7 linked regions of the Macaca fascicularis genome follow. The protein of the gene in region 2 purifies or fractionates together with the protein of the main gene of each other region. This does not show direct contact. Links are inferred from orthologs where the notes say so. Each region holds a gene or a part of one and is shown on either strand. Other genes may lie near its edges. The genes, in order: STAU1, EIF2AK2, MAVS, ADAR, STAU2, DHX30 and NPM1.

Region 1 (3,951 bases), on a different chromosome or scaffold from region 2:
CAACATGAAACAAAACCGACCTTGGCTATGAGTTAATAATTGTCAAAGCTGAGTGAGTGACTAATACATGGGGTTCTCCATACTATTCGAGTTTTACATATTTTCCAGAATAAAAAGATTTTTTAAAATGGTATTTAAAATACCATTTCCCTATTGCAATATGCCATAGTGATATGGCAGTATTAGACATGCTTTACACTGTTTGTATAGTTGTTTGCTTACGTGGTTTTTTTGGTGTTGTTTTTTTTTTTTTTTTTTTTTTTTTTTGAGACAGTCTCGCTCTGTCGCACAGGCAACCTCCGCCTCCTGGGTTCAAGCGATTCTCCTGCCTCGGCCTCACGAGTAGCTGGGACTGCAGGCGCCCGCCACCGCATCCGGCTACTTTTTGTATTTTCAGTAGCGACGGGGTTTCACCATGTTGGCCAGTATGGTCTCCGTCTCCTGACTTCGTGATCCACCCGCCTCGGCCTCCCAAAGTGCTGGGATTACAGACATGAGCCACCGCGCCTAACCTGCTTATGGAGGCCGAGGCGGGTGGATAACAAGGTTAGGAGTTCAAGATCAGTCTGGCCAACATGTCAAAACCCTGTCTCTATTAAAACTACAAAAATTAACACGGTGCGGCGGCGGGCGCCTGTAATCCCAGCTACTCGGTAGGCTGAGACAGGAGAATCGCTTGAACCCAGGCGGCAGAGGTTGCAATGAGCCGAGATCGTGCCACTGCACTCCAGCCTGGGCGACAGCGTGAGGCTATCTCAAAAAAAAAAAAAAAAAAAAAAAAAAAAAAAAAAAATTCAAACAAATATTTTAAATTAGAAACAATGGTAAGACTGTCAGAAAATTCTAGGAAAATATCAAAAACAAGGAGTCCACTTTGCCGCATGTGTGTTGAGAAGCGTATAAGTAAAAATATTTTCAGTCCACTAATGAAATTTAATGCCTAAAACAATCCTAAGATACAGGAGGATCACTGAGGTAAACACACACTCCTTACTCGTATAAAATTGAACACCCATAAGTTGCATTTCCTTAGAGTACACCTATAAAACTAAGTACAGAATTTTTCAAAACCCAGTATGCTTTAATAAAGTTGCTGTACTAAAAATCCCACCTGTCACCAGGAAAACCGAAACTGCTCCCTCTACACTCCAACTGTATTTTTAGTTTTTACCTCAACAAGTAGCAATGTAATTTACATTTGGTAAGCACGGATTCCTGAAAGGCCAAAATCAACCAGGAACCTGACTGAACTCTTTCCACCACGCTCTTAACAATGAAAGCTACAAGCAGAAGAGAAGTGTGAACTTAAAAACGTCCACACAGCCGAAGAACAGTGGCAGAATAGACTGAAGCACGTATCTTCGCGGAACAGGAGAAAACTTCCACACAAGCAATACTGCAACACGGAGGCGGGGCAAGGGCTTAAAAGGAAAGCCAACAGGGAGGGGGGAATATAAGCAAAGCTTCAGCGAAAAAAACTTATCGAGGTGTAGAGAAAGAACAGACAGACAAATTTTTCCATCTTCGTACACCCCGCTTCAGAGCCTGATACACAGCAAGTGCTCCAGATAGGTTTGCTCAACTCAAGGGAAGCTTCTGCCAGCAACTTTCCCAGAAATGGAATGACAACAAGAAGCTGGCTGATGGCGGGGCGGGGGGAAATGGACAGGTTGCTCATCCTGCGGGAGATGGTGAATATCCTGCAGTTGGCTAAGCGGAGGACATGGAAAGAAATAGCATCCATCGTTTACAGACTGCAAACGACAATGTACCAATTAAGCGTACGCCCCTTTCAGATGTTAAGAACTCAAAACAATGCCCTGGCTCTGGACATGGGCACGCGGAACACTGCAGCCTCTAAGAAACCCAAACGGATAGGTAGGTCAACTTCTATCCACTCTGTCCATTAAATTATACCTTCATATCACGCTAATAAATTATGCAGACGGTTTATTGGGACACGCTCTGCGTCTGGCACTCTGATAAGCGCTTTACACGCCCCATTTCACTGAACCCTAACAGTCTTAAGAGGCAGGGACGGTATTAGCAGCCCCCTTTCCAACCAAGACACAAAGAGTTTAAGTGTCTTGCCTAATGGGGCAGAGCCGGGTTTGGCACCCGTTTTGGACACCTGGGCCGTGCTCTTAACCACTAAGCTACAGACCTGGGCCGGCGACACTGAGAGGCTCCAGCCCTAGGGGACCTGAAGCGGTCCACCCCCCAACCCGCGCCCCAGCCCCGGGAATAACTTCGGCATCCCCGCGCGCGCCATGCGGGACGAGGAAAGGCGGCCGCGGCACCTGTTTGTGACACCGGCGAGGGCTGGAGGGGATGGGGGCGCCCGAGGCCAGGCCTCAGGGCGCCCGGAGGCGGGGGGCGCAAGAGGACCCGCCTCCTCCGGGAAGGCCCCGCGGGCTACATAGGCCCGGGGGAAGGCGGCGGGGCGCGCGGGCCCGCCGAGGCCTAGGCCCCACCCGCCGCCCACCTCCCCACCACCGCGGCGCCCGCGCGGGCTCCGCCAGGCCCGGCTCGGCCCGGTCGCCTCACCTGGCTGCTGCCCCGAGCTCGTCCCCCGGCCGGCGGTCCTGGGCGGTGGCGGCGAGGAGGAGAAGGAGGAAGGAAAAAGGGAGAGGAAGAAGGGACGAAGGGAGGGAAGAGGCGGAGTGGCCGTGGAGGAGGCGGGCGCCGCCGGGCCGGGGGGTGGGGGGGCGGTCAAAGGAAGCAGGAGCCGAGAGAGACGCGGCGGTCGCCGGCGCAAACGCTGAAGAGCCGCTCCGGCGCCCGCAGCCCGGCAGGAAGTGACGGGGGAGGGGCAGGCGCCCGCCCCCGTCCCCCGCCCGCCTCCAGGCCCGGCCCCACCCCCACCAGCGGCCCGGACTACAAGTTCCGGCGGGCGCTGCGGCGGAGCCTGCGCTCGCAAGGCACGCCGGGAGCTCAGCGGGAGTGGCGCCCTGTCCCGCCTGGGCCGCCGCGGGCCGCCCTGGGCCCCGGGGCCTGCCGGGAGTTGTAGTTGTGGGAGTTTCGTGCTGCCTGCTGGACTTGAAGCGTGTCTGGGAGAACCTAGCCTACCTTCTTTCCTCCTCCACTTCCTTTTTCCTTCCTTCTCTCGGTCTTTCCTCTTGTCTTGCCTCTGGCCCTCCTTTCTCTCCTTCCTGCAGTTGTTTCTTCCTTCATCTGTAAATGTTTATTAAATGCTTGCTGTATGCAAGGCATTGCTCCAAGGGCTAAGAATGTAGTGGTGAACAGACAAAAAATCCGTGCCCTCGTAGAGCTTACATTCTTGTGTGAGTAAAACACACAATAAATAAAATCAGAAAATTTTACAGTGAGATAAAAGACAATAGCCCGGATGCGGTGGCTCACGCCTGTAATCCCAGCACTTTGGGAGGCCGAGGCGGGCAGATCACTAGGTCAAGCGATCGAGACCATCCTGGCTACCACGGTGAAACCCCCTCTCTACTAAAAGTACAAAAAATTAGCCGGGCGTGGTGGTGGGCGCCTGTAGTCCGAGCTACTCGGGAGGCTGAGGCAGGAGAACCGCACCCGGGAGGCGGAGATTGCAGCCGAGATCGCACCACTGCACTCCAGCCTTGGCGACAGAGTGATACTTGATCTCAAAAAAAAAAAAAAAAAAAAAAAGACAAGAAGTGCTAGATTGCTATTTCTTTCACCCAGATCTAGATAAACTAAGTGGGTTTTAGCAGCCGTATTATATGGGAGGTTGGAGGAAGCGTGGCCAGTAAAGAATCAGTGGCTCACGCCTGTAATCCCAGCACTTTGGGAAGCCGAGGCCGGCGGATCACCTGAGGTCAGGAGTTCAAGACCAGCCTGACTAACATGGGGAAACACCATCTCTACTAAAAATACAAAAAAAATTTAGCCGGGTGTAGTGGTGGGCGCCTGTAATCAGAGCTACTTGGGAGGCTGAGGCAGGAGAATCTTTTGAACCTC
Region 2 (3,937 bases):
CCAAAATATCTCCAGATACGCCATCCAGGACTTGTCACCTGCTTTCCTCTACATTTATAGTGCAATATCTGCATTCTCTCTGTACCCACCAATCTCCCAATCTCCACTCATCAATCAGGATCAACACAGCCTTCTTTGATGCTGGAGGGTCAGCTAGTATGGGCTTGCCACTCCACCTTGCCCAACCTTCATCACAGCCCTGACTGCTTTTTAAACTAATTAGTGAGTTATTTGGGGAGCAGATTCTACATCTTATTCACTCATCTGGAAGAAACCTCCATCATAATCACTAAAAAATGATATTTGTCCATCTTACTAATGCCCAGACATTACTTCGGCTATGCCTCCACTCCCTTCCAGCGACTATAGTCGCCCTGCAGGCTTAGTCCCCTCCAGGGCCAGCACATGGCTTCACATAGATCATTCCTTCAACTAGCATCTGATTAATAAATGAATAAACGGTGGGGGGCGGTGGCTCACATCTGTAATCCCAGCACTTTGGGAGGCCGAGGTGGGTGGGTCACCTGGCCAACATGGGGAAACCCCGTCTCTACTAAAAATACAAAAATTAGCTGGGCATGGTGGTGCATGCCTGTAATCCCAGCTACCCAGGTGGCTGAGGTAGGAGAATCACTTGAACCCTGGAGGCAGAGTTGCAGTGAGCTGAGACTGCACCACTGCACTCCAGCCTGGGCAACAGAGCAAGACTCCATCTAAAATAAATAAACAAACAAACAAACAAACAAACTACAGGTCAAGTATTCAGGATCTCCAGGTTCAAATAAACAAACTGAAAAACAATAGCATAATCTGCCCAAGATTCTAAATTTCCAAGTGACATCAGAGAGCCTGTCTTTTACCTTCCATCTGGCATGGCATTTTTAGTACTAAAGAAAACATGGGGCCATGTAATCCTCATGCCTGTAATCCCAGCACTTTGGGAGGCCGAGGCAGGTGGATCACCTGACATCAGGAGTTCGAGACCAGCCTGGCCAACATGATGAAATATACTAAAAATATAAAAATCAGCTTGGTGTGGTAGTGTGTGCCTGTAATCCCAGCTACTCAGGAGGCTGAGGCAGGAGAATCACTGGAACCCTGGAGGCAGAAGTTGCAGTGAGCCGAGATCAAGCTACTATACTCCAGCCTGGGCGACAGAGTGAGACTCCATCTTGAAAGGAGAAAGAAAAGAACAAAGAAGGGAGAGAGAGAGAGGGAAACAAGGAAACAAGGAAGGAAGAGAAGAGGAAAAAGAAAAGAAAGGAGGGAGGGAGGGAAGGAAGGAAGGAAAGAAGGAAACATGGGCAACAGGACGCCTCATTATTTTGGAATTCAAAAGGGAGTTTTTGAATTACCATTCATTTAGCAAACATTTAATCAGCACCTATTATGTACTAGGTGCTGGGACTATACTAGTGAACCCTGCTATAGGTAATTGTGAAATTACCAGTGGAGGAACAACCCATAAGAAAATGTCACCGGGTGGCCGGGCGCAGTGCCTCATGCCTATAATCCCAGCATTTTGGGAGGCTGAGGTGGGGGATCACAAGGTCAGGAGTTTGAGACCAGCCTGGCCAATATGGTGAAACCCCGTTGCTACTAAAAATTAAAAAATTAGCTGGCTGTGGTGGTGGGCACCTGTAATCCCAGCTACTCGGGAGGCTGAGGCAAGAGAATCGCTTGAACCCGGGAGGCGGAGGTTGCAGTGAGCCAAGATCGCACCACTGCACTCCAGCCTGGCAACAGAGTGAGAATCTGTCTCAAAAAAAAAAAAGAAAAGAAAAAGAAAGAAAAAAAAAAGAAAAGAAAAGAAAAAAGAAAAGAAAAGATATCACCAGGTGGTAACTACTATGTTGAAAATTGAGGTAGTGGAAGGGGGAACAGCAAGGGCAGAGTGGGGTTTCTTGCATATGCAGGTTGTTTGAGGAAGTCTGCTCTGATAAGCTGGCATGGGAAGCAGTGTAGGATAAGGGAGGGGTTTCCCCATGCAAGTATCTGAGGGAGAAGCTTTCCAGGAAGAAGAAACAGGCCAGTGTAAAGGCCTAGAGGCTGGAGGATGCTTGGCTGTGCGCCAGGAACAGCAAGGAAGCTAGCATGGGCGGAGTAGGGGGTGCAAGGGACCTTGCCGGTGAGCCTTAATAAATGTTTATAGGATTCTGACGAGACAGGAAAGCTATGGGGAAGGTCTGAGCAGGGCAGAGTCTGGTTCTTACTTAAAGGAACATTCCAGTTGCTGAGGTGTGTAGAAGAGATAGGGGGTGGAGGTTCGGGGGTAAGGAGACGGAGTGGGAACAGGAACCGAGGCCAGGCAATTGGGAAACTACTGCAACTCTCCATGCAAGAGATTTTTAGCCAGAGATTGTTCAGCCAGTCTATGAGTATTTCAGGCCTCCGTATTTTCCATATGTCAAGCCACTAGGCCTATTCATCATCCACTAGACCCAGCCCCACAACCGCTGCCTAGGAAATATTTGTTACTTGCACTGATAAAAATTCTTCACGGGAAGAAAATGGCTTTCAGTCCCCATCCCGCTCCACGATCCTTTCCCTGGATTCAGGGAGGGCCCCACACCCGGGCTGTGGGCCTCGGACTGCTCTCCCATTGCTGACCCAGCCGGGGCCAGGGGCTTCGGATCAGCTTCCGCGTCCTGAGCTGGGGACGCAGGATCGGCGGGTCCCGCCCCGGCTGGGCCCGCAGCCCCTATCCCGTGGCCCCCCGGCCCCTGCTCCCTGCGCTCCCTCGGCTGCCCCCGGCCCCGCTCACCTGCGCCGCCGCCGCCGCCGCCGGCCAGAGATCCGCAGCTTCGGGAGAGCTGACTCTCAGTTTCGTTTTCCCCTCGGACTCCGCCTTCCCTGCAGCCGCCCGGCCCCCTCTCGCACAAGCCCTCGTCTGCTACGGGATTGGGGTAAATTGGCACTGGATCCAGAGTGCGCGCGAGAGGCGCCGGCGGCCGGCACTGGCGGGCGGGCTTGTCACCCATGTGCAGCCCCTGCGCGGCCAGGACCCCGCACCCCCAACCGCCTCCCCCTCCCCGCCCCGGGGCTCCTGGAGCAGGTGGCTTTGGCTGCATTAGGTTCTGGAATCAAGGGTTCCACTTACTCTCAACACAAATATTTGGAGAGGGGTTGGGAAGATGGGTCTTAGCAGCTCCATTTTACAATAGAGGAAATTGAGTAAATGAACTTACCTAGGGGTCCAGCGGCTCGTAAGTGGGAAAGCCAGGATTCAGTTAAAGTCCAGGCCTGTAAACACCAAAGCGCCCCTCCCCACTTGCCACACCACTGCCCCCTCACTTTTACAAGGCTGGGGATGCGAGGCCTGGGGGCGTAATCTCCTTCACTCTGCTCCCACCCATCCATTCACTCATGAGCAGACACTTGTCAGCCGCTGTAAAAGCACCTGCGGGCCAGTCCTGCTGTTAAAGAGAGCCACCTGCTCCCTACAGTACCCCAGGGAGTTTCCTACTATAGTCCAACACCAGTAGTCCTCGATTTATAGAAATTCTACTCACCTGATGGACTGTGACACACTCCCAGAGTCACACAGAGTTCCACAGTCATTGGCACAGTGACTAATGAGTATTGAGGCACAGAGGAGTTAGATTAACACAACTAGTAAGCAGCGGAGTTAGAACTATAACCAGGAGTCTGTACTCTCAATATCTTAGCTGGGATAAGAGAGGGAGGTGGTCCCAAGACAGACCTCAAATATACTTTAAATATTATGCCTAGGCCGGTGCAGTGGCTCATGCCTGTAATCCCAGAAATTTGGGAGACCGAGGGGGGGGCAGATCACCTAAGGTCAGGAGTTCAAGACCAGCGTGGCCAACATGGCAAAACCCCATCTCTACTAAAATACACAAAAATTAGCCAGGCGTGGTGGCGGGCACCCGTAATCCCAGCTACTCCGGAGGCTGAGGCAGGGAGAATTGTTTGA
Region 3 (4,037 bases), on a different chromosome or scaffold from region 2:
CATCCTGGCTAACACGGTGAAACCCCATCTCTACTAAAAACTTCAAAAAATTAGCCAGGTGCGGTGGTGGGCGCCTGTAGTCCCAGCTACTCGGGAGGCTGAGGCAGGAGAATGGTGTGAACCCAGGAGGTGGAACTTGCAGTGAGCCGAGATCGCGCCACTGCACTCCAGCCCCGGGACAGAGCGAGACTCCGTCTCAAAAAATAAATAAATAAATAAATAAATAAAAATAAAAATAAAAAAAAATAAAATAAAAATACAAAAATTAGCATAGTGGTGGGTGCCTGTAATCCCAGCTACTCAGGAGGCTGAGGCAGGAGAACTGCTTGAACCCAGGAGGCAGAGGTTGCAGTGAGCCGAAATCGTGCCCATTGCACTCCAGCCTGGGTGACAAGAGCAAAACTCCATCAAAAAAAAAAAAGCAAGCAAGCAAGCTAGGGAAAGGGGCAGAGATTGTCAAGGTCAAGGAGGTGGCAGGGGCCACTCATGTAGAGTGCTATAAGAAAGGACTCTGGGTTTTAGTTGGTGTGAAACAGGGAACCACTGGAAGGTTCTGGCAGGGAAAGAAGAGGATCTGATTTGCGTTAAAGACTTCTCTGGTGGTTGTGAGGACTTTGGAGGGGCCAGGATGAAAACTGGGAGACCAGTCAGGAGGCCACAGCCCAGGAGACAGGATGATTATGGTCAGGATGGGAACCACAGAGATGGAAGGAGGCAGCCAGATTCCTGGTGTTTTGAGGGTGTAGGAGATAAGGGAGAGAAAAGAAGGATGACTCCTTGGGCACTGGATGGATGGAAGGTGCCCTTTTACCAAGCCAAAGAAGCCAGGGGAGGAGCAGTGGCTCAGAAGGAACTCCAGAACTCAGGTCTGAACAAGTGAAGCTTGAGATGCTATTGGATTCCAAGTGGGTTGTCAGGGAGGGAAGGAGACAGGAGAGGACCAAATGGGCATCAGGCAGGCATGAAACCTCTCTCAGGAGGCAGTGCTGCAAGCAGACAGCATCTAAAAGCTGCTGGGCCACCAGACCCTCCTCACAGGGGAAACAGTCTTGTCACTGGCCTCAGAACCTCACATGCACGACTTGCTTTGCCAACCACCAGGCGCTGCTGCATTCCTCCTGGGGCAAGTACTAATGACAGGTCGGGAGAGTCAGGAAGGTGAGGTGGGGGTCCTCTGAGCCTTCAAGAAATAAGCAAAGAACAACTCTGTGGGAGTTAACAGACTCCTTTCTCGGCCAGGCATGGTGGCTCATGCCTGCAATTCCAGCATTTTGGGAGGCCAAGGCGGGCAGATCACTTGAGGTCAGGAGTTTGAGACCAGCCTGGCCAACATGGTGAAACCCAGTCTCTACTAAAAATGCAAAAATTAGCCAGGCATGGTATCAGACACCTGTAATCCCTGCTACTTGGGAAGCTAAGGCATGAGAATCTCTAAACCCAGGAGGCGGAGGTTGCAGTGAGCCCAGATTGGGCCGCTGCGCTCCAGCCTGGGCAAGAGAGTGAGACTCCATTTCAAAAAAAAAAAAAAAAAAGACTCCTTTCTCCTTCCTTTCTCATGGCATCAGCCAGGTACCAGGAGGCAGTCAGATGAAGCACTCTTCTGCATTCCAGCCTAAGCCACAGATGGAGGAGAAGGGACGATGTGGCCCAACCAAAAGGAAAGGAAGCCCACATTTGTTCACATTTATGGAGGGCGCACTGCAGACAGGCACATCCTAAGGTTCTTTCAGTTAAACCTTCCCCAATCCCGTGACAGGGAAAGTGATGCCAAGGTGCACAGCTGGCCAAAGGCTAGCACAGGATTTGAACCCAGAAACTGCTGCCTCACTGTAGCCAGTCATAAACCTTGCAGGGCACAGAGACCCCTGCAGCAAGAGAGACCCACACAGTCACCTGCCTTCAAGCCCAAAGAGGACCCAAGGTCACTTGGTGGAGGGGAGGCTGAGGGTGCACTTGGGAGGAAGCAACATTTAGTACAAACATTAACCCTGCCCTCACATGGCTGCCACAGGCCCCAGGTCGCTGGCTGTCCTCCTAGATATTTTTGAGGCTTCACGGCTTCCATACAGAGAATGCCTTTTTCGTGTTTTTGGTTTGTTTCATTGTTTTCCTGGCACCTCCTTCCCATCTGAGAAGGAAGGAGGTGACAGAGTGTTCCCGATGCAGCAAAGTTTCCGACCTGATTGTCCAGAGGCTCTGAGTGCATCCCGGAAATAAATACCCACCCCCACCAAAGGCACAGGCCTCACAGCCTCGGATCGGATTCCTGGGCGAGACCCAGGTCCGCTGAGGGCGGGGAGGCTGTTCTGAGCTGGTGTCGCCGCCAAGAACTGTCCGGACCCAGGGGAGGGCAGCAGCACTCGACCTCAAGGCGCAACTAGTCGAGGCTCCGCCCCAACTTAGCGTCACCCTGGGCCCGCGGGCGGCAGGAAGAGGTCAGCGGCCGCTGCCCGTCCCCTTCTAGCCCTACTTTTCCCCTAGCCGGAGCAGACGCCCAGCGCGACCCACCCCCTTTTCCCTGGATGCTGGATGCGGCGCCTGGAGCCCTCAATGTTCCCGAACCCCGTGCGCCACAGGGCCGACTCTTCCGGAGCCCCGCGCGCCCTGTCCCCTCCTGGGCCCCCGCGGCCCCAGACCCAGGGCGTCCCGGCGGACTCGGTACTGCCGCTGCAGCCACCTTCCCTAAAGGCGTCCGTGCGTGCTGAGCCGAGAGGACCCATCGCCCGGGCAGCGATCTTACCTCGAGTAGCCCCGACCCTGAGACCTGGCGACCGCCGCCCGGGGCCCAAGACCCCTCCCTCGGCGAGGGGGCGGGGCGGGCAGGGCGCGCGGCTATTGGTCACGTGGAGGGGCAGGGCTACTCGGCCGCGCGTGGTTGGCTGGCGGCGCAGGCCGCGGCGCGGCGGGGGCGGGCACTGGGCCTTGGTTTGCTGGTCGAGAAGCGCTAGGCTGGGCACCGAGAACCGACCTGATTTTCTGCTGAGGGCGCGTAGTCTCGAGCAACTTCCAGGGGAAGTCCAGTGTCCGGCCAGAAACCAGGCAGGCGGCCGGCCTCGAAGTCCTCAGGGGGCTGAGAATTCCATCCCCACGCTTCCCAAGTGAAACAGCCCCTCCTTCCGCCGGTAGTTTTGATGGGTGAGGGTCTTCGTGTCTTTCTCTCCTGCATCCCCATGGCCAGGCATACAGTTAGTGCCCAATAAACGTTGGGTGACGCTGAAGTCACAGGGGCAAGGATGCATAGCCTAGAGACGCGCATGCTGGGCCTGTGGGAGTGGGAGCGGGCGGGGGACTGCCGGGCAGGTAGTTGCAAGGCAGGGACGCCGAGGTTGGCTGGCTGGCAGGCTGGGTATGGGTTGGGTCCTGCGTGGGAGAGGCCTCTTACGCCCAAGGGCCTGGGACAGGTACCTCCCGCAGTTCCTGCCATCTGTCTCGCCCTTCCTCTTCTGGGGCAGAGGCCAACACTTATTGAGCACTTACTGCCTTCCAGGCACAGGGCCTTCTATTTTTTTTTTTTTTTTTTTTTTTTTTTTTTTGAGACAGAGTCTCCCTCTGTCGCCACCACGCCCGGCCTCAAGTGAGATTTTATTACTGTACTTTATATCCCTGTGAATATTTCACAACCTTCAGCATTTACAAAGTATGCTTAATCACACCTGAACTGTAATAAAACCAGCTCTGCCTAGTTTAGCCAAGAGGGCATAAATGTGGATTAGTTCAAGAATCAAGCCTGCCTGCTCCCCACCGGGCTCTAGCAGCTTCATATCTAATACTTCCCCCCTCCCCACCCCCGAGACGGGGTCTCTTTCTGTCTCCCAGGCGGGAGTGCAGTGGCGCGATCTCAGCTCACTGCAAGCTCCGCCTGCCGGGTTCTCCTGCCTCAGCCCCCCCCCCTCAATAGCTGGGACTACAGGCGCCCACCACCACGCCCGGCTACTTTTTTTGTATTTTTAGTAGAGACAGGGTTTCACCGTGTTAGCTAGGATAGTCTTGATCTGCTGACCTCGTGATCCGCCCGTCTCGGCCTCCCAAAGTGGTGG
Region 4 (3,500 bases), on a different chromosome or scaffold from region 2:
GCCCGCCCTGCAGCTGGCTAAAGTGCAGGATGGGAGGATGGCAGGGCATTATCTGTAGGCTCCAATCACACTTCCGTGGCACTGGGAACTGCAGTTTTCAACTCCTACCCTTACAAATGTTTCACCAGATCCTTTAAGTTCACCTTTTTACCCTCTGAGGGAGAAAAGGAGAAATTCTGATCACAAGGAAAGAACCTCAGAAGGGGAAGGGGGAAGTAGAGGGGTCTGCGTAATCCACAAAAGAAATCATCAGTCTCGGACATGATCCAGAATTGACTGAAACCTAATCAAGACCACGAGAGGTCAGTGTAGCAAACACAAAGGGAAAGGAAATGGAAAAAAAAAAAAAACTTTTAAGAGGAAATGGACTGCAGGTGCTCAGTGACTATGTATGCTTTGAGTTATAGAAAGAAAAGATAACTTCTTAGGTTTCTACCTCTTCACTTGGGGGAAAAAAAGGGGGGCCTGGCCAGACCTTGCCTAGCAATCCCAAAGAAAGCAGGATAAATGGGAACCCAAAGTTTTCAGTATCACCAATTATGGCTTAAAAAGAAAAAAAAGGAGGAAAAAAAAATCCCCTGACCATGTGATGAGGAACGCTACGACCTACCTCTCTCTCACCCTAGTATGACACACCCTAATCCATCTGTCACCGGAGCATACTATACTGGGCAGAGATAAAAGTTCTTTTCCTCCTGGGGTTTGCTAATCCAGTTCCCATAGCCCATATCCTTCAAGCTTTTTTTGAAGTAGTTCTTGGCCGTCTCGTAGTCACGGGCAGCTTTCTTGGCCTCACCATAGGAGAGTCTCAGTAGATCCCTGCGGTAACGGAAGGAGCAGAGCTTCTTAAATAGAAGAAAAATGTTCTTTTTGGAGACCCGGGACAATTCATTCCGTGGCCTAGAGAAACAAAAGCACTCATTATTCACCTGGGACCTGTAAGATGAGGAGCTCACAGTGGAGAAACCGTGGCAGGGAAGGTGGCTCTCAAGCCCTGAGACTGCAGAGGTATGATGCACCCTTGCAAGTCAGGGCAGAGGCTTGGTCCTCACTGCGCTCTCCTGTCTCCTTACCCATCCACGGTGCCTCTGGTACCATCCAGGATCTCCAGGTCATAGCCATCAGCCAGACACCAGTTGACGCTTGTCTCCTTAGTCTTCCCAGATTGCCTTTTGGAATCATATACACTGACTCTGCCAACCTAGGAATCCCAGAAGCAATGGGAGAAAGATGGAAACCTTTCAGGAATAAGATTCTGAAGCAGGGACTCAAGACTTACAGCAAAGAGGAAATGCAGAGTCATGATCTTTCTCCTGTATTTAGGGTTCTGTTTGGCTAAGACAGAGCACACTCTAGACATACTAACTCCACCTCGATTCAGATTAATTCCAGACTAAGAGAAGGAAAGCCCTTGGCATCCAAAAGGAAGACAGTTAAAGTTCTTGGGACACCAACAAATGTTGGTGGTGGGCCACTGTGGGCAATGTTCCCTTGTGGGCTACCACTGCGGGCAGTGTTCCCCTGGGGGTAATGTTCCAATGTGGGCTACCACTGCGGGCAATGCTCCCCTTGCTCATATTGTACAATTTTCCTCTATTTATGTGACTGCTTGAAAAGGAGAAAAATGTCAGGGAAAACAGAAGGGGGGTTATAGCACCTTGGGGTGGTTGACAATAAAGGGATGTCGTAGTCCATCCTCAAATGCACTCCCATCTCTTGTCACACGACAGCAAATAGCCCGGGTCAGATGCCCTTGGCTGAAAAGGTAACCTGTGTACAAAAAAGAGAAACATATATACCTGTGTTTGCACCAAATGCTGTTAAGAGGCAGGGGCATGTGGGGATTCTGGAGGTACAAAATGCAGTTGTCAAGAAAGAGAAACAGCTGCCTTGTTAGGAAGCACCTTCTGACCGGGGCTACCCAGGATCTCCCTAGCACAGCAGACTGGACAACCAGTAACTGAGGGGTGACTCATGCTCACTTTGACAGGGGAGACAAAACACCTGGCAACAAAACATGCCGTTTGGGATTTGGGCACAAGGACGACAGACCAGTTCCAGATCCCAAGGCAGGCCTCTTACCCAATGTAACAGATTTGAGATAAATGGGCTGCAGGAAGTGGGTCAACAGTGCCCCTTGCAGGCCCAGCACATTCCAGCGTAGGATTTTGTCACTACAGGACATGGTACGGAGTCTCTCCCCGAGCCGAATGCCATCCCACGTAGGTACAATGTCACTGGATTCCACAGGGATTGTGCCTTCTCCTATGTGAGAGACTTGGGTCAGACTTACAGGGGCCAGTGGACCAAACCACTCCCTGGCGTGGTTTTTATCCTCCTTAAGCTTGAGCCACAGGCAACATTCATTCATTCTTCACATATTTCACAGCATCTGCTATGTGCCAGGCACTATGCTTGGTGCTGGGAAAGAACTTGGTTAGCAAAACCAAGTAAGATGCTTGTCCTCCTAAAACATCTACAGTGGTGAGGAGATTGAAAGGGGAGAGAACAGACACTAAACCAGTAGCCAGTACATACAGAATTCCACATGCTGATAGTGCTCTGAAGGCTTTGAGGGAGCTATGACGGAGGACCACAGGGGGAACCTCCTGGGACAGCAGCAGCAGGGGAACCCAGACATGGAGGAGAAGGACAGCTGGAGTAAGAGTGTTTCAGGCACACAGGACAAAAGCAACGGGCCCAAGGTAGCCAGCGGATTGGCTGTTTAGGGGGCAGACAGAGAGCCAGTGTGGACACAGCATATGTGAGGAATGGGGAAAGTGGCATGAGAGGAGGCCGGGTGATCACAGCAGGTTTTGCTTGTATATGCAGTGCAGTGGGAAACCACCATAGGGTTTAAAAAAAAAACAACAGCTTTACTGAAATATAGTTCACATGCCATACAGTTCACCCATTTAAAGCATACAATTCAGTCGTTTTTAGTATATTCACAGACTTCTGCAACTGTCACCACAGTCAATTTTAGAACATTTCATCGCTCCAAAAAGAAACCTTCTACCCATTGGAGCAGTCACTTCTCATCTCTCCAACCCTCCCACTCCTGGCCCTGGCAACCACTAATCTACTTTCTGTCTCTATGGATTTGTCTATTCTGGACATTTCATATAAATGGAATCATACAATATGGGATCTTTTGTGACTGGCTTTTTTCATTTGGCATCAAGTTTTCAAGTGCATCCATATCGTAAGCATGTATCAGCACTTCACTTCTTTTTATGGCCAAATAATACTCAATTTATGGATATACTTGATGTTTTATTTATGAATCCATTAGCTGATGGACATCTGGGTTGTTTCCACTTTTTTGGCTCTTGTGAGTAACGCTGCCATGAACATTCACATATTAGTTTCCGCGTGGACACAGGTCTCCATCTCTCTGGAGCATCCACCTAGGAGTGGAGCACTGGCTCCATGTAACTGTGTCTATACTTTAGGGTATTTAGCAGGGTTTCAGGACCACCATGATGACTGCTGACGTG
Region 5 (4,021 bases), on a different chromosome or scaffold from region 2:
TAAGCTAAAATGTAAAATTTACATGGTTTTCCAAGCTCAAGTATTTAGGAGTTAAGGACCACAATGTATGTAACTTACTCTTAAATGGTCCAGGGGAAAAACATTTTGTGTGTGATAGAGAGCAGTAATAAATGCATAAAATGTTAACAGGTGAATCTGAATAAAGGTTACAAAGATATTCTTTGTATTATTATTCTTATTCTTGCAATTTTTCTGTAAGCTTAAAATTACTTCCAAATAAAGTTAAAATTTAATAATTACACAGCATTCTATTTGAAATTAACAATATGTACTTGGATTATACAGCAACATTCTTACAAATACAAAATACTGGTTTTTACGGGGAAAAATGCAGTAATTTGTGAGCAAGTACGTACCATATCCTACCAACTAATTATCACTTAGGAGTAAATTTCAGACTAGCCTACCATATAATGAAATGTGACAATGGTAACTTGACTTGAAACCATAGCAGGAAAACACAAACACACCACATAGTTTTGCATAACTGCTTCGCAAATTTAATACAGGCCTGCTGCAAAAAGCAGCAATCTACAATTAAAGTGATATGTGATATCTCTTGTTTGCAGTAAAATACAAACTGAACAATGAAAACCTGGTCATATTACAAAACAGAGATGGAGAGTAAGTCTTGGTTTTGATAGTTTTATTAAATAAGATTTTTCCACCGCAGCTCAGTTCACAACAGTATACTTGAATCATCTAAAGAAAGCAAGGACGGGGAAGAAACATCCTGGAGAAATGTTGAAATCTTTTCTCCTCCAAGGTTACTATCACCCTGCCTGCCCATCCCAATTTTATTTCAAGTATTCACTATGCTGGTCTGAAACACAGGATGCATCAGAAGCCAAGTAATGCTCAGCGAAAGTTCACCAAAATTGTGAAATCAAACATTAAATAATAAACGTTTTCAGTTGACAGTAAAATATCTTTAAAAGATCATCTCTAGCCTTTCTTTCTGCAGGATCCACCCACTTTAAAATCCTTTGGTAAATTCCCAGGTCTACCCTAATTGAATGGTCCCTCTCTATCTGCTCAAGCAGTTCTTAACCCTTTGTAGTGGGGATAGGGGAAGGGGGACATCACGGCAAATATGGACCCTTACCAAAGAAAATTATTCACAAATGCAAAATTCTACACACATTTCCAAAGACTTTCAGATCCCCACGGCCATTATCCCCACCCCTCCCTAAGAATCCCACTGTGGCGTGCTCCTCCATAGCCTCTGCGGAGCACCCCCCGCCCCCAGGCCACAGCCACCGGCTCGCCCCCGGAGAGACTGGAGTTCCTGCTCTCACACAGCGGATTCTGTAACTGAGCTTTGTCTCCTCGCCCAACTCCCTTCACCCCGGCAAGGTCACTACCGCCAACTACCCCTTTAAGCCGAGCCATCACGGTAGGAGTTCGTAAGAGCCACAGCAGAACTTGCCTGTCATAGGATACATTTTGTCCCCTCGGCCCCACCTACCCTCCCATTTCGGCAAGTTACGTCTTTACCACTCGCCCATTCTACAGAAATAGCCGCCGCCACCACCCTCAGGCTCGCCCCGGCCCCGCCGCTCCGCCTCCAGCGCCCCCAGGCCCATTCCCCACAGACCCTCCCCAGGCCGCCCTCCCCTGCCCTACCCCAGGCGCTCCCTCTCCCTCGCAGCCACACCGTGGCTGCACTCGCCGTCCCCTCTTCCGGCCGCTACCACCCCGGCCCCCCAGAACCCCAGCCTCCCGCGCCCGCAGCCGCGTTCCTGCCTCCCCCACCTCCGCACCCCGACTTGGCCCGGCCTCCTCGCGTTCCTCCCGGCTCCTCCCCTCAGGACACCTGTGTCGTCCCACCCCCTCCGCCACACACGCCCCCACCCCCCACCCCAAATCCTTCGCCTCCCGGTCCTCCCTCCCACGCCGGTCTCCCCTCCCCCCTGCTGCCCCGAGAGAGCCCGAGGTGGGAGGGAAGGCGCGGGGGAGAGGAGGCCGCGAAGGGGGCCGCTCTTCTCCGGGTTCCCCGTGCCGCGGACCTGCAGGGCTCCCCAGCGCCCTCTGCCTCCTCCGCCGGCGGGGCGGAAGTCGGGGTCTCCCGGGCGCCCCCGACGAGGGTATTTACCTTCTTGCCAGGAACACTTTGCAGACGGCTCCAACATTGGCAAACAGTACAGAGAACTGACCCCGCTCGGCCGCCGCCGGCTTCCACCCCTCGGGCTCCCCGCCCCCCGCCTCCGCCCGCCTCCGCCCGCCTCCCGGGCGCTCCCGCCGCGCCCTCCCGCGCTCGCGCCGCGCGCCCCCGCCTGCGCAGCCGCTCCCGCGCCCCAGCACGCCCGGCCGGCGCGCGCGCCCGGCACCGGCTCTATCTCCACTCCGCCTCTCGCCGGCCCGCGACCAAGCGCAGCCATTGTTCGCGACGCAGCTCCCGCCCCCTGGCGGCTGCCGGGCCCCCCAGCTGCAAGCTCTGCGGGGCTAGCGGCGGCGAGTTGGGCCCCCGAGAGAGGGCCGTTCCGGGGGCCCTTGGGCAAGGGGGCGAGCGACTGCGCTAGGAGCGCGCCCAGTCCGCAGTCTCCTCGTCCCCGGCGCGGCTCCCCGCCCCCTCGTCTGCCGGGGGTGGGCCTGGGGCAGCCCCTTCCACACCTGCAGTCGGCAACTTCCTTCCCCGCCCGACTGACCGTCTGCTCTTTCTGGTCCGCACCCTGTGTTCTGATTCCCCGCTCGTACCTTTCCCAGGCTCTCAGGCTGCCCCTCTGTGCTGTGCAGGGGACGCGCGACCATCCCGCGTCTGCTCCGGCCGCCGCTGTGCGACACACCGTTTAGCGGATCCTGCACCTTTCCAGACGGGGGAGGGGGCGAGGAGGAGGTTGCTTCACCGTCTCATCCAGCAAACACCAGGGATCCGTAATCACCTGCTCGCCAAGACCCGCGGCGTGGCCAGACCTCCTCCTCCACCGAAAAAATTAGTCACATCCAAAAGAATCCTTGGAGCCAAAAATGAGAACCATTGAAAACAAAGCCCTAGATCCTAGATTTATGAGGCAAGAGTGCCAGAAAACAGAAATTACGTCTTGATTCGTCCTGGTTTTGATGTGGATTACTTTTGTCTAGATAACTTCAACCCAGTTAAGCTCGACGAAATTGAACACTTCGTTTAGTAACGGGCACCAAAAATAATCTGACAATAAAAGAAATTTCGAAATAGAACTATTAGTGTGCTTTCACAAACTTATTCATTTGCAACGTTATTTCTAGAGTTTCTTCCCGGTGTCACTTCTCTGAGAAATGTCTCCCAGGACGGTGATTTCAGTCATCATCTAAAACCAATCTCCTGTCTACACCTGGGAAGATAGTGTGCGTCCTGGTTAAGAGCAAGGGCTCCAGAGTCAGATAACCAAGGCTGGATATCCGCTTACTAACTGGAGAGGAGATCACCGGCATGTTACTTATCCTGAACCTCAAGAGGAGACTACATGTGATATTTTGTATTTAAATGTGACAATACATATGAAGCCCTTTAAACAGGGCCGGGCATGTAGTACCTCTCCTGGTACAATGTTAGCTACAGCTGTATTTTTCCTCCCAGAACTCTTTCCTATGCTTTTTCCCTCCTTTTCACCTCTGCCAGTTACCTCGTATTGAACATGTTGCATCCTTCCCAAATTTGCAGCGCTCCTTCTAGCGGCTCACGCACCTAGTCAGCATTCTCATACAGTCATGCCTTACCTAGCCACAGGCATATGTTCTGAGGAACGTGTCATTGAGCGATTTTTGTTGTTTTGTGCACATCATAGCGTGCTCTTACGCAAACCTAGGTAGTCTAGCCAACTACTCGCTTTGGCTATATGGTATATAGCTGTTACTCCTAGGCTACAAACCTGTAGAGTGTGTTACTGTGCTAATACTGTAGGCAATTGCAACACAAGGTATTTGTATCTAAACATAGAAAACGTACAGTAGAAGAACTGTATAATCCTTTTCTTTCTTTCTTTCTTTCTTTTTTTCTTTTTTTGAGATGAAGTCTCAGCTC
Region 6 (3,500 bases), on a different chromosome or scaffold from region 2:
AACAGCCCTACGTCTGGGGAAGGCCCTGAGGAGAAACCACTCACTGTGCGACTAGAGCCCCTCCAACACCACAATAGGCCCCTGTCACCTCCGTGAATTCCCAACGTGTACCCTCGGACCAGCCAGACCAGGCCCTCAATGACGCTAGAATACACCCCACAGACTCCCTCTTCCTTTGCTGCCTCATCAAAGCCTTCCTCCCTCAATCATTCTTCCATCCCACCTCCTAGTCCCTACATGGCACCTGACCCATCTGTAACCCCATCATATAGATACACGTGGAGTTTCCTATAAATGTTGATTATAATGCAACTTGATCAAACAAGCCACTGCAAGGAAAACACTGTGTCTTACCTCCTTACATACCTAAAGCCACCTCGCCAGAGATAAAACATGGCATTCCAATACCTCAGGCACGTGGGTAAAACTAGTCTTGTGTTCCTGTCACCTCTAATGTCTGGACTCTGCTCGCCCTTCGGAGCCCAGATCAAACACTTCCTCCTTAAATAAGTCTTTCCACAACAGGGGCCAACCCCCTGCCTCTGGGCACGCTGGCACCATCAGCTGTAAGGACCTCAAGGACAGGAATCTGGTCCTCGTTCCACAGGAGGTGCCAACACAAGCTCCTTGCTGCAAGAACAGGCTTCCGCCCTCTCCCCAGACTTCATGGGTTTTACCCACCAGCCTGACAAATGGCCCTCCAGCCACTGCAAAGCTTGTTCCTTCCCAGACAGGCCCCACCATACCAAGGTGCCTCTGCTCAGTGCGTGTGCGTCAGGCCAAAGCTCAGATGCCTCCAGTTCTACAGTCAGTCCTTGTTCTGCCCTCGAGTCACAGGTAGCAGATCTATGCCTTCTATCTCACCACCTGCCTGTCCCCTCTTCCTCATTTTCTCCAGGTTCTTGTTACCCCTGACCATCAGCTATAACTAAAACGTGGTTCCCGGGGCCAACTGCACCCATGAAATGGTGCACCTGACCATTCAGAGTAAAGCAGGCCCATTTCTGTCTTGTTCTGCAAACTAAACCTCCACCAACATGGGTTGAGATTACTAACTCCTCAGGCAGTCAGACACAATCCCAACGCCCTCCCACTACTGTGCCATCAGCTAACTCCACAGCCCCTTTAAAGAGAACTGCCATGGCCAGGAGCTGTGGCTCATGCCTGCAATCCCAACACTTCAGGAAGTGAAGGCAGAAAGATTGATTGAGCCCAAGATTTTAAGACCAGCCTTGGCAACACAGTGAGACCCTTGTCTCTACAAAAAATGTTTAAAAATTAGCTGGGAGTGGTGGCGCATACCTATGGTCCCAGCTATGCAGGACGCTAAGGTGAAAGGATCGCTCAAGCCTAGGAGGTCAAGGCTGCAGTGAGCCATGATCGTGCCACTACATTCCAGCCTGGGCCACAGAGACCCTGTGTCAAAAGAGAACTGCCAGCTGTCTGCCACACTGTCTCTACCTTGATGCTGACTGCTTCCTCAATCTTCACTGCAGTCACAAGTCACATTATTCATTTTGGCCACAAAACCCGGGTTATCAGGATCATACTGGACACCAGGTCTGCCTCTCAAAACAGGCCCGGCTCCTCCTGGCTTTATACTATTCAGAACAATGAGCAAGTTTCCTCCCGGCCTCACCAGGTTCAGGCCAACAGTGTGGAAAAGGCTGGGGCACAGTCAAAGCATCTCCACAGGGGCTCTGGGAAAGCTGTGGCAACAGCCACAGGGCCTACAAGCAAGGCCTGCAGACCAGCTGTCTTTGTGCCAGGCAAAAGGCCTGCTGTGGTGGTTTCATTTCCTAAAAAATGGGACCCATTTGCCACTGGCAGAGGGGAGCTTCAAGACATTCTCATGCATCACACCCAGGACCTTCCTGGACTCACCTTCAGTTTCTTGCAGGCCAAGGCTGCCGCCTTATTCTCAGCCTCTGCTTTGCGGCGCCCTTTGGCAACAAAGGTCATGGGGCAGGGCCAGAGCAGGGTGAGTGTAGACAGCTTGGTCTTGGTGCCCACAGTATGGAACTGCATGAGATTCTACATGGAAGGCAAGAGAGATGGTTACAGAAATGCAGGGAATGGGAAGAGACTTGGGGCATTCTCAGAATGCCAAGGAGCCCAGAGACGGAAGGAGCCACCATCTCAGCAGATGCCCGGCATGAGCCATGCTAGAGGTGCTGCTGCATAGCCAGGAGCAGGCCCATGGGCTCGGGCACTCTAGTCCCAGGCTCGCTTCTCCTGCTATACCTCGACTTCCACTGCGGAAGACAGTGCTTGGGCAATTCCACCACCTGCCCTCCTAGCTCAGTCATCTCAGCACCTTCGTGGCAGCTGTGGGTTGAAGCTGTCAGCATGAGCTAAAAACCAGGCACATCCTGCGGGAGCAAAAAGGCCCTGCACCCGGACAGAAGCTCTGCCTAACCGAAGCCCCTTTGCCTGGTAGCAAGAGAGAAACTCATACCTCACCAAGACCCACACCTCTAAGCCCTCCCCACTGACAATCCACCGCCCAGAACAGGTATGGGTCTTCTGCTCCTGCGGCCCCCAGCCCACGCCCTGTGCTGCTAAGACTTGACCTCCATTCTGTCACACTGACTGCTTTTCCTTCCACGCCGGAGTTCCACCAGCTGGCCGAGGTGTGGGCTGGAGGAACAGGCCCCCTCAGCCCTCTGTAAACCTGCCTTTGGGGAACACCAGACATGACCAAGTAAATGGCCCCCACACACACTTCTAGGAGACCCAACTCACCTTAGCTGTGGAGGATGATGTTGCAATCTGAATCACCTTGGCCAGAAGGTTCTTGGGAAGTGGAAACTGGGTCAGAGCCCTGATAGCACTGTCATCATCTGTCATCTCAAAGGAACTCCCCCTGGGAGGACCAAAAGTTTAGCTGAAAGAATCTTCTCTTCCTGGACCAATTTCCCTGAGGCTCTGAGATGTAAGGGTGAGGACACTGCACTGCAGCAGGGAGCCAAAAGGCCAGGAGGCATGAAATGGATGGGAAACCGGGCATCTCTGCTCCTCCCACAGCCACACTGGATGGGGACTGCGCCCTCCATTCCCTCACATAGATAAGACAGCAGAGAGCAGGTTCTCCGTGCTGCTGTTCTGCAAAAGCCCAGCCACATAGAAGACCACAGCTGGCTGTCCCCCAAGAATGGGCAGACACACACTGAGTGACGGGACACACAGGCTGCAATGTGAGGCAGGGCACTCCCATCTCAGAGAAAGCTAGCAGAGAACATTCGCCCATCCCTGTGTCAAGGCACAGCCAGCCTCCGCTGCATCCCCATCCCCAATCTGTACCTTGAGTCCCTGAGTGGGGTGTGGGAATCCTGCTGGGTCATGGACAAGAAGTCGGTAACATCTATGGTCCCTTCTTCTAGCTCTTCCTCCTCATCCTCTTCTTCTTCCCGGCCCAAAGAGCGGGATAGGCCCCCAGGTCCCCCTGGCCGAATGCTCTCCGGATTCAGCTGCCGCCAGGAAGTAGGGGGCATGGTGGG
Region 7 (3,500 bases), on a different chromosome or scaffold from region 2:
GTAGCTGGGATTACAGGCATGTGCCACCATGCCTGGCTAATTTTTGTGTTTTTAGTAGAGACGGGGTTTTACCATGTTGTCCAGGCTGGTCTCAAACTCCTGACCTCATGATCTACCTCAGCCTCCCTAAGTGCCGTGGGATTACAGGCATGAGCCACCACCGCCCTTTCCTATGCTTACATGCACAAATACTTACTATTGTATTTCAGATGCTTACAGTATTCAGTACAGTAACATACTGTACAGGTTTGTAGCCTAGGTGTGTGTAGTAGGCTATACCATCTAGGTTTGTTAGTATAAGCACATTCTTATGATTGTACCAAGATGAAATTGTCTAACAACACATTTCTCAGAACCTAGCCCTGTGGTTAAGTGACGCATGGCTGCATATAACATTTAGTGGTGGGGGGGTGTAAAATAGGTGGAACTCAAAGTTGAAGTGGTATTTTTTTTTTGTTCACAGGTCAGTTTAGGGGCTGGTGCAAAGGATGAATTGCACATTGTTGAAGCAGAGGCAATGAATTACGAAGGCAGTCCAATTAAAGTAACACTGGCAACTTTGAAAATGTCTGTACAGCCAACGGTAAGGGCACTTGTATACTTTGGATGTTGTGTCAAGGTTTAATTCTGTTTTAAGGTAGGTTTGGTGTCATTTCGTTGTGCCAAAGAGATAGAAAGTGGTTCTTTATCTTCTGTCACTGGAGTTCAATGGTCAGCTCTTGAACATGGGGGTTTCTGCTGCTAGTTTATCAGAGGTGGAAGAAAGGTTCACTGGTTTGTGGTTTTTGTTTTTTTTTTTTTGAGATGGAGTCTCGCTGTGTTGCCCGGGCTGGAGTGCAGTGGCCGGATCTCAGCTCACTGCAAGCTCCGCCTCCTGGGTTTTTACGCCATTCTCCTGCCTCAGCCTCCCGAGTAGCTGGGACTACAGGTGCCCGCCACCTCGCCCAGCTAGTTTTTTGTATTTTTAGTAGAGACGGGGTTTCACCGTGTTAGCCACGGTGGTCTCGATCTCCTGACCTCGTGATCCGCCAGTCTCGGCCTCCCAAAGTGCTGGGATTACAGGCTTGAGCCACTGCGCCCGACCAGGTTCACTGGTTTGTTGATTTGGCTTATGTGTTTGCTTGTAATGTTTATTGTACATTTTCTTCATATGTTTAGTGATTAAAAATTTCTTCCTTCTAGGTTTCCCTTGGGGGCTTTGAAATAACACCACCAGTGGTCTTAAGGTTGAAGTGTGGTTCAGGGCCAGTGCATATTAGTGGACAGCACTTAGTAGGTATGTTATTTTTATGTATTATACTACTTAGTTTATTCTCTTTAATGCAGTTGCTTGGTTCCCAGTTTGGACTTAAAGCATGGGTATAGTACTACTGTCTTTAAAATAGATTCCAGTGTGAGTCTAGAAATTTATAATTGGAGAGGACAAATAAATTTTTGGAGTGGGGGGACAAAATCTTGATCTGTCACCCAGGGTAGAGTACAGTGGCACGATCTTGGCTCACTGGAACCTCTCCCTCCGGGATTCAAGGGATCCTCCTGTCTCAGCCTCCCCAGTAGCTGGGACCACAGGCGTGTGCCACCAAGCCTAGTTGTGTTTTATAGTTTTAGTAGAGAAGGGGTTTCGTGAAGTTGGCCAGCCTGATCTTAAATTCCTGGCCTTAACGTGTTCTGCACGCCCTGGCCTCTCAAAGTGCTAGTACTACATGCGTCAGCCACTGTGCCTGGCCTAAAATTTTTTTTTAATAAAGACAGTCTCATTCTAAGGCTGGAGTGCAGTGATCGTAGCTTGTTACAGCCTTGAACTACTGGGTTCACATCAGCCTCTGGACTAGCTAGAACTACAGGCACACTCCACCACGCCTGGCTAATTTTTTTTGTATATGTGCAGATGGAGTCTCACTGTGTTGCCCAGATTGGTCTCTTGGCTTCAAGTGGTCCACCTTGGCCTCCCCAAAGTGAGATTACAGGCATGAGCCACCCTGCTCAGGCTTCTTGCATTTAAAACCTGGCAGTGAACGTTAGGCCTCAGAATACCTTTGTTAAAAAGTTCCTTTTCCCATTTGCTCTTTTTTTAAAAAAATAGAATAGAAATCTCAGTTTTTAGAATATTTACTGTATGCTATCAGTGTTCTTTTTTTTTCTGATTTCTTTGCTGCTTGAGTTTTATAATGTCTAATAAATTGTATCTTAGCTGTGGAGGAAGATGCAGAGTCAGAAGATGAAGAGGAGGAGGATGTGAAACTCTTAAGTATATCTGGAAAGCGGTCTGCCCCTGGAGGTGGTAGCAAGGTTCCACAGGTAGAGATGGCAATTTTATTATAGGTTTTGTATTACAGATTTTAGTTTGGTGATAGAACAGCTCTTGTTCATGAGTATGTGCCTTTTCTTTTAAAAGAAAAAAGTAAAACTTGCTGCTGATGAAGATGATGATGATGATGATGAAGATGATGATGATGAAGAGTAAGTATGATCTTAGAAATTTGATACCCTTCTGAAATCTTAACAGATAAAAAGGAATTTGACATTGTTATATGCATGAGGATTTTATAAAAGTCATTTATGAAAAGCCATCCTGTGTAATAGTTTATAATAAAAGGGCAAGTGGTCATCTGTTGTCAGTTTAAGTTAAATGAGCTGAATTGAAAGGATATTGGGTCATGAGCCTTTACAGTGCTGTGACTCGTGACTCTTCAGAAGGGTAGGCTATAGCATTTGCAAAGTTTGATTATGTCCCTTTGTTTTAAAGATTTAGTGGATGTTATACCCATCAAGCCTGGTATGTATTATGGTGAAGTTAATTAGATTGGGTTGAAAGAAAATCTGACTAAAGGCCGGGCGCGGTGGCTCAAGCCTGTAATCCCAGCACTTTGGGAGGCCGAGACGGGCGGATCACGAGGTCAGGAGATCGAGACCATCCTGGCTAACACGGTGAAACCCCGTCTCTACTAAAAATACAAAAAAAATTAGCCGGGCGAGGTGGCGGGCGCCTGTACTCCCAGCTACTCGGGAGGCTGAGGCAGGAGAATGGCGTGAACCCGGGAGGCGGGGCTTGCAGTGAGCTGAGATCCGGCCACTGCACTCCAGCCTGGGCGACAGAGCGAGACTCCGTCTCAAAAAAAAAAAAAAAAAGAAAAGAAAATCTGACTAAATAGCTCTATATTCATTTTACAAATTGTTACTGAAGGTTTGTTATTCCCCAAAAGGATTTTGGCTTGTGCTTTTATGTAGATACTTAATGGACAAAAATAAGATCCTAAAAGGGATATTAAGATTTTTCTTGGGATTTAAAATATGATTGGAAACATTAATTTTTTTTTTATATTAAACTGGATCAAACTTGGTATAAACAGTTACATGCACACTGGTATAAAGTACTGTTTATAATTGGTCTTATGTGTGCAAGTATCAGTAATACATTAAATACTTGGCTCTCAGCTTTGTTCTTCAGTTCTGAGATTGGTCCATATGCATTTATGGAAAACACATTAAATAAAATATAA

What was found.
Region 1: the proteins of EIF2AK2 (region 2) and STAU1 purify together in Homo sapiens (affinity purification with mass spectrometry; 4 studies listed by BioGRID and IntAct, with this or other methods). This does not show direct contact. The link is inferred for Macaca fascicularis from reciprocal best matches to the Homo sapiens genes EIF2AK2 and STAU1.
Region 3: the proteins of EIF2AK2 (region 2) and MAVS purify together in Homo sapiens (affinity purification with western blotting; 3 studies listed by BioGRID and IntAct, with this or other methods). This does not show direct contact. The link is inferred for Macaca fascicularis from reciprocal best matches to the Homo sapiens genes EIF2AK2 and MAVS.
Region 4: the proteins of EIF2AK2 (region 2) and ADAR purify together in Homo sapiens (affinity purification with mass spectrometry; 3 studies listed by BioGRID and IntAct, with this or other methods). This does not show direct contact. The link is inferred for Macaca fascicularis from reciprocal best matches to the Homo sapiens genes EIF2AK2 and ADAR.
Region 5: the proteins of EIF2AK2 (region 2) and STAU2 purify together in Homo sapiens (affinity purification with mass spectrometry; 3 studies listed by BioGRID and IntAct, with this or other methods). This does not show direct contact. The link is inferred for Macaca fascicularis from reciprocal best matches to the Homo sapiens genes EIF2AK2 and STAU2.
Region 6: the proteins of EIF2AK2 (region 2) and DHX30 purify together in Homo sapiens (affinity purification with mass spectrometry; 3 studies listed by BioGRID and IntAct, with this or other methods). This does not show direct contact. The link is inferred for Macaca fascicularis from reciprocal best matches to the Homo sapiens genes EIF2AK2 and DHX30.
Region 7: the proteins of EIF2AK2 (region 2) and NPM1 purify together in Homo sapiens (affinity purification with western blotting; 3 studies listed by BioGRID and IntAct, with this or other methods). This does not show direct contact. The link is inferred for Macaca fascicularis from reciprocal best matches to the Homo sapiens genes EIF2AK2 and NPM1.

Annotation. Positions count from the first base shown.
Region 1 is NC_088384.1:105,253,024-105,256,974, forward strand, and holds the start of STAU1 (double-stranded RNA-binding protein Staufen homolog 1), read right to left. Parts: upstream 2,801-3,951; 5' UTR 2,548-2,800; intron 1-2,547. UniProt on the Homo sapiens protein: Binds double-stranded RNA (regardless of the sequence) and tubulin.
Region 2 is NC_088387.1:85,022,749-85,026,685, reverse strand, and holds the start of EIF2AK2 (interferon-induced, double-stranded RNA-activated protein kinase), read right to left. Parts: upstream 2,801-3,937; 5' UTR 2,765-2,800; intron 1-2,764.
Region 3 is NC_088384.1:83,440,129-83,444,165, forward strand, and holds the start of MAVS (mitochondrial antiviral-signaling protein), read right to left. Parts: upstream 2,801-4,037; 5' UTR 2,741-2,800; intron 1-2,740.
Region 4 is NC_088375.1:106,558,151-106,561,650, reverse strand, and holds part of ADAR (double-stranded RNA-specific adenosine deaminase), read right to left. Parts: intron 2,266-3,500; coding exon 2,083-2,265; intron 1,771-2,082; coding exon 1,658-1,770; intron 1,202-1,657; coding exon 1,074-1,201; intron 901-1,073; coding exon 663-900; 3' UTR 1-662. UniProt on the Homo sapiens protein: Catalyzes the hydrolytic deamination of adenosine to inosine in double-stranded RNA (dsRNA) referred to as A-to-I RNA editing.
Region 5 is NC_088382.1:83,572,816-83,576,836, forward strand, and holds the start of STAU2 (double-stranded RNA-binding protein Staufen homolog 2), read right to left. Parts: upstream 2,801-4,021; 5' UTR 2,773-2,800; coding exon of another isoform or gene 2,719-2,772; intron 2,300-2,718; exon of another isoform or gene 2,117-2,299; intron 1-2,116. UniProt on the Homo sapiens protein: RNA-binding protein required for the microtubule-dependent transport of neuronal RNA from the cell body to the dendrite.
Region 6 is NC_088376.1:110,779,241-110,782,740, reverse strand, and holds part of DHX30 (ATP-dependent RNA helicase DHX30), read right to left. Parts: coding exon 3,304-3,500; intron 2,867-3,303; coding exon 2,746-2,866; intron 2,035-2,745; coding exon 1,885-2,034; intron 1-1,884.
Region 7 is NC_088380.1:178,186,693-178,190,192, forward strand, and holds part of NPM1 (nucleophosmin), read left to right. Parts: intron 1-463; coding exon 464-583; intron 584-1,182; coding exon 1,183-1,276; intron 1,277-2,191; coding exon 2,192-2,298; intron 2,299-2,395; coding exon 2,396-2,460; intron 2,461-3,500. UniProt on the Homo sapiens protein: Involved in diverse cellular processes such as ribosome biogenesis, centrosome duplication, protein chaperoning, histone assembly, cell proliferation, and regulation of tumor suppressors p53/TP53 and ARF.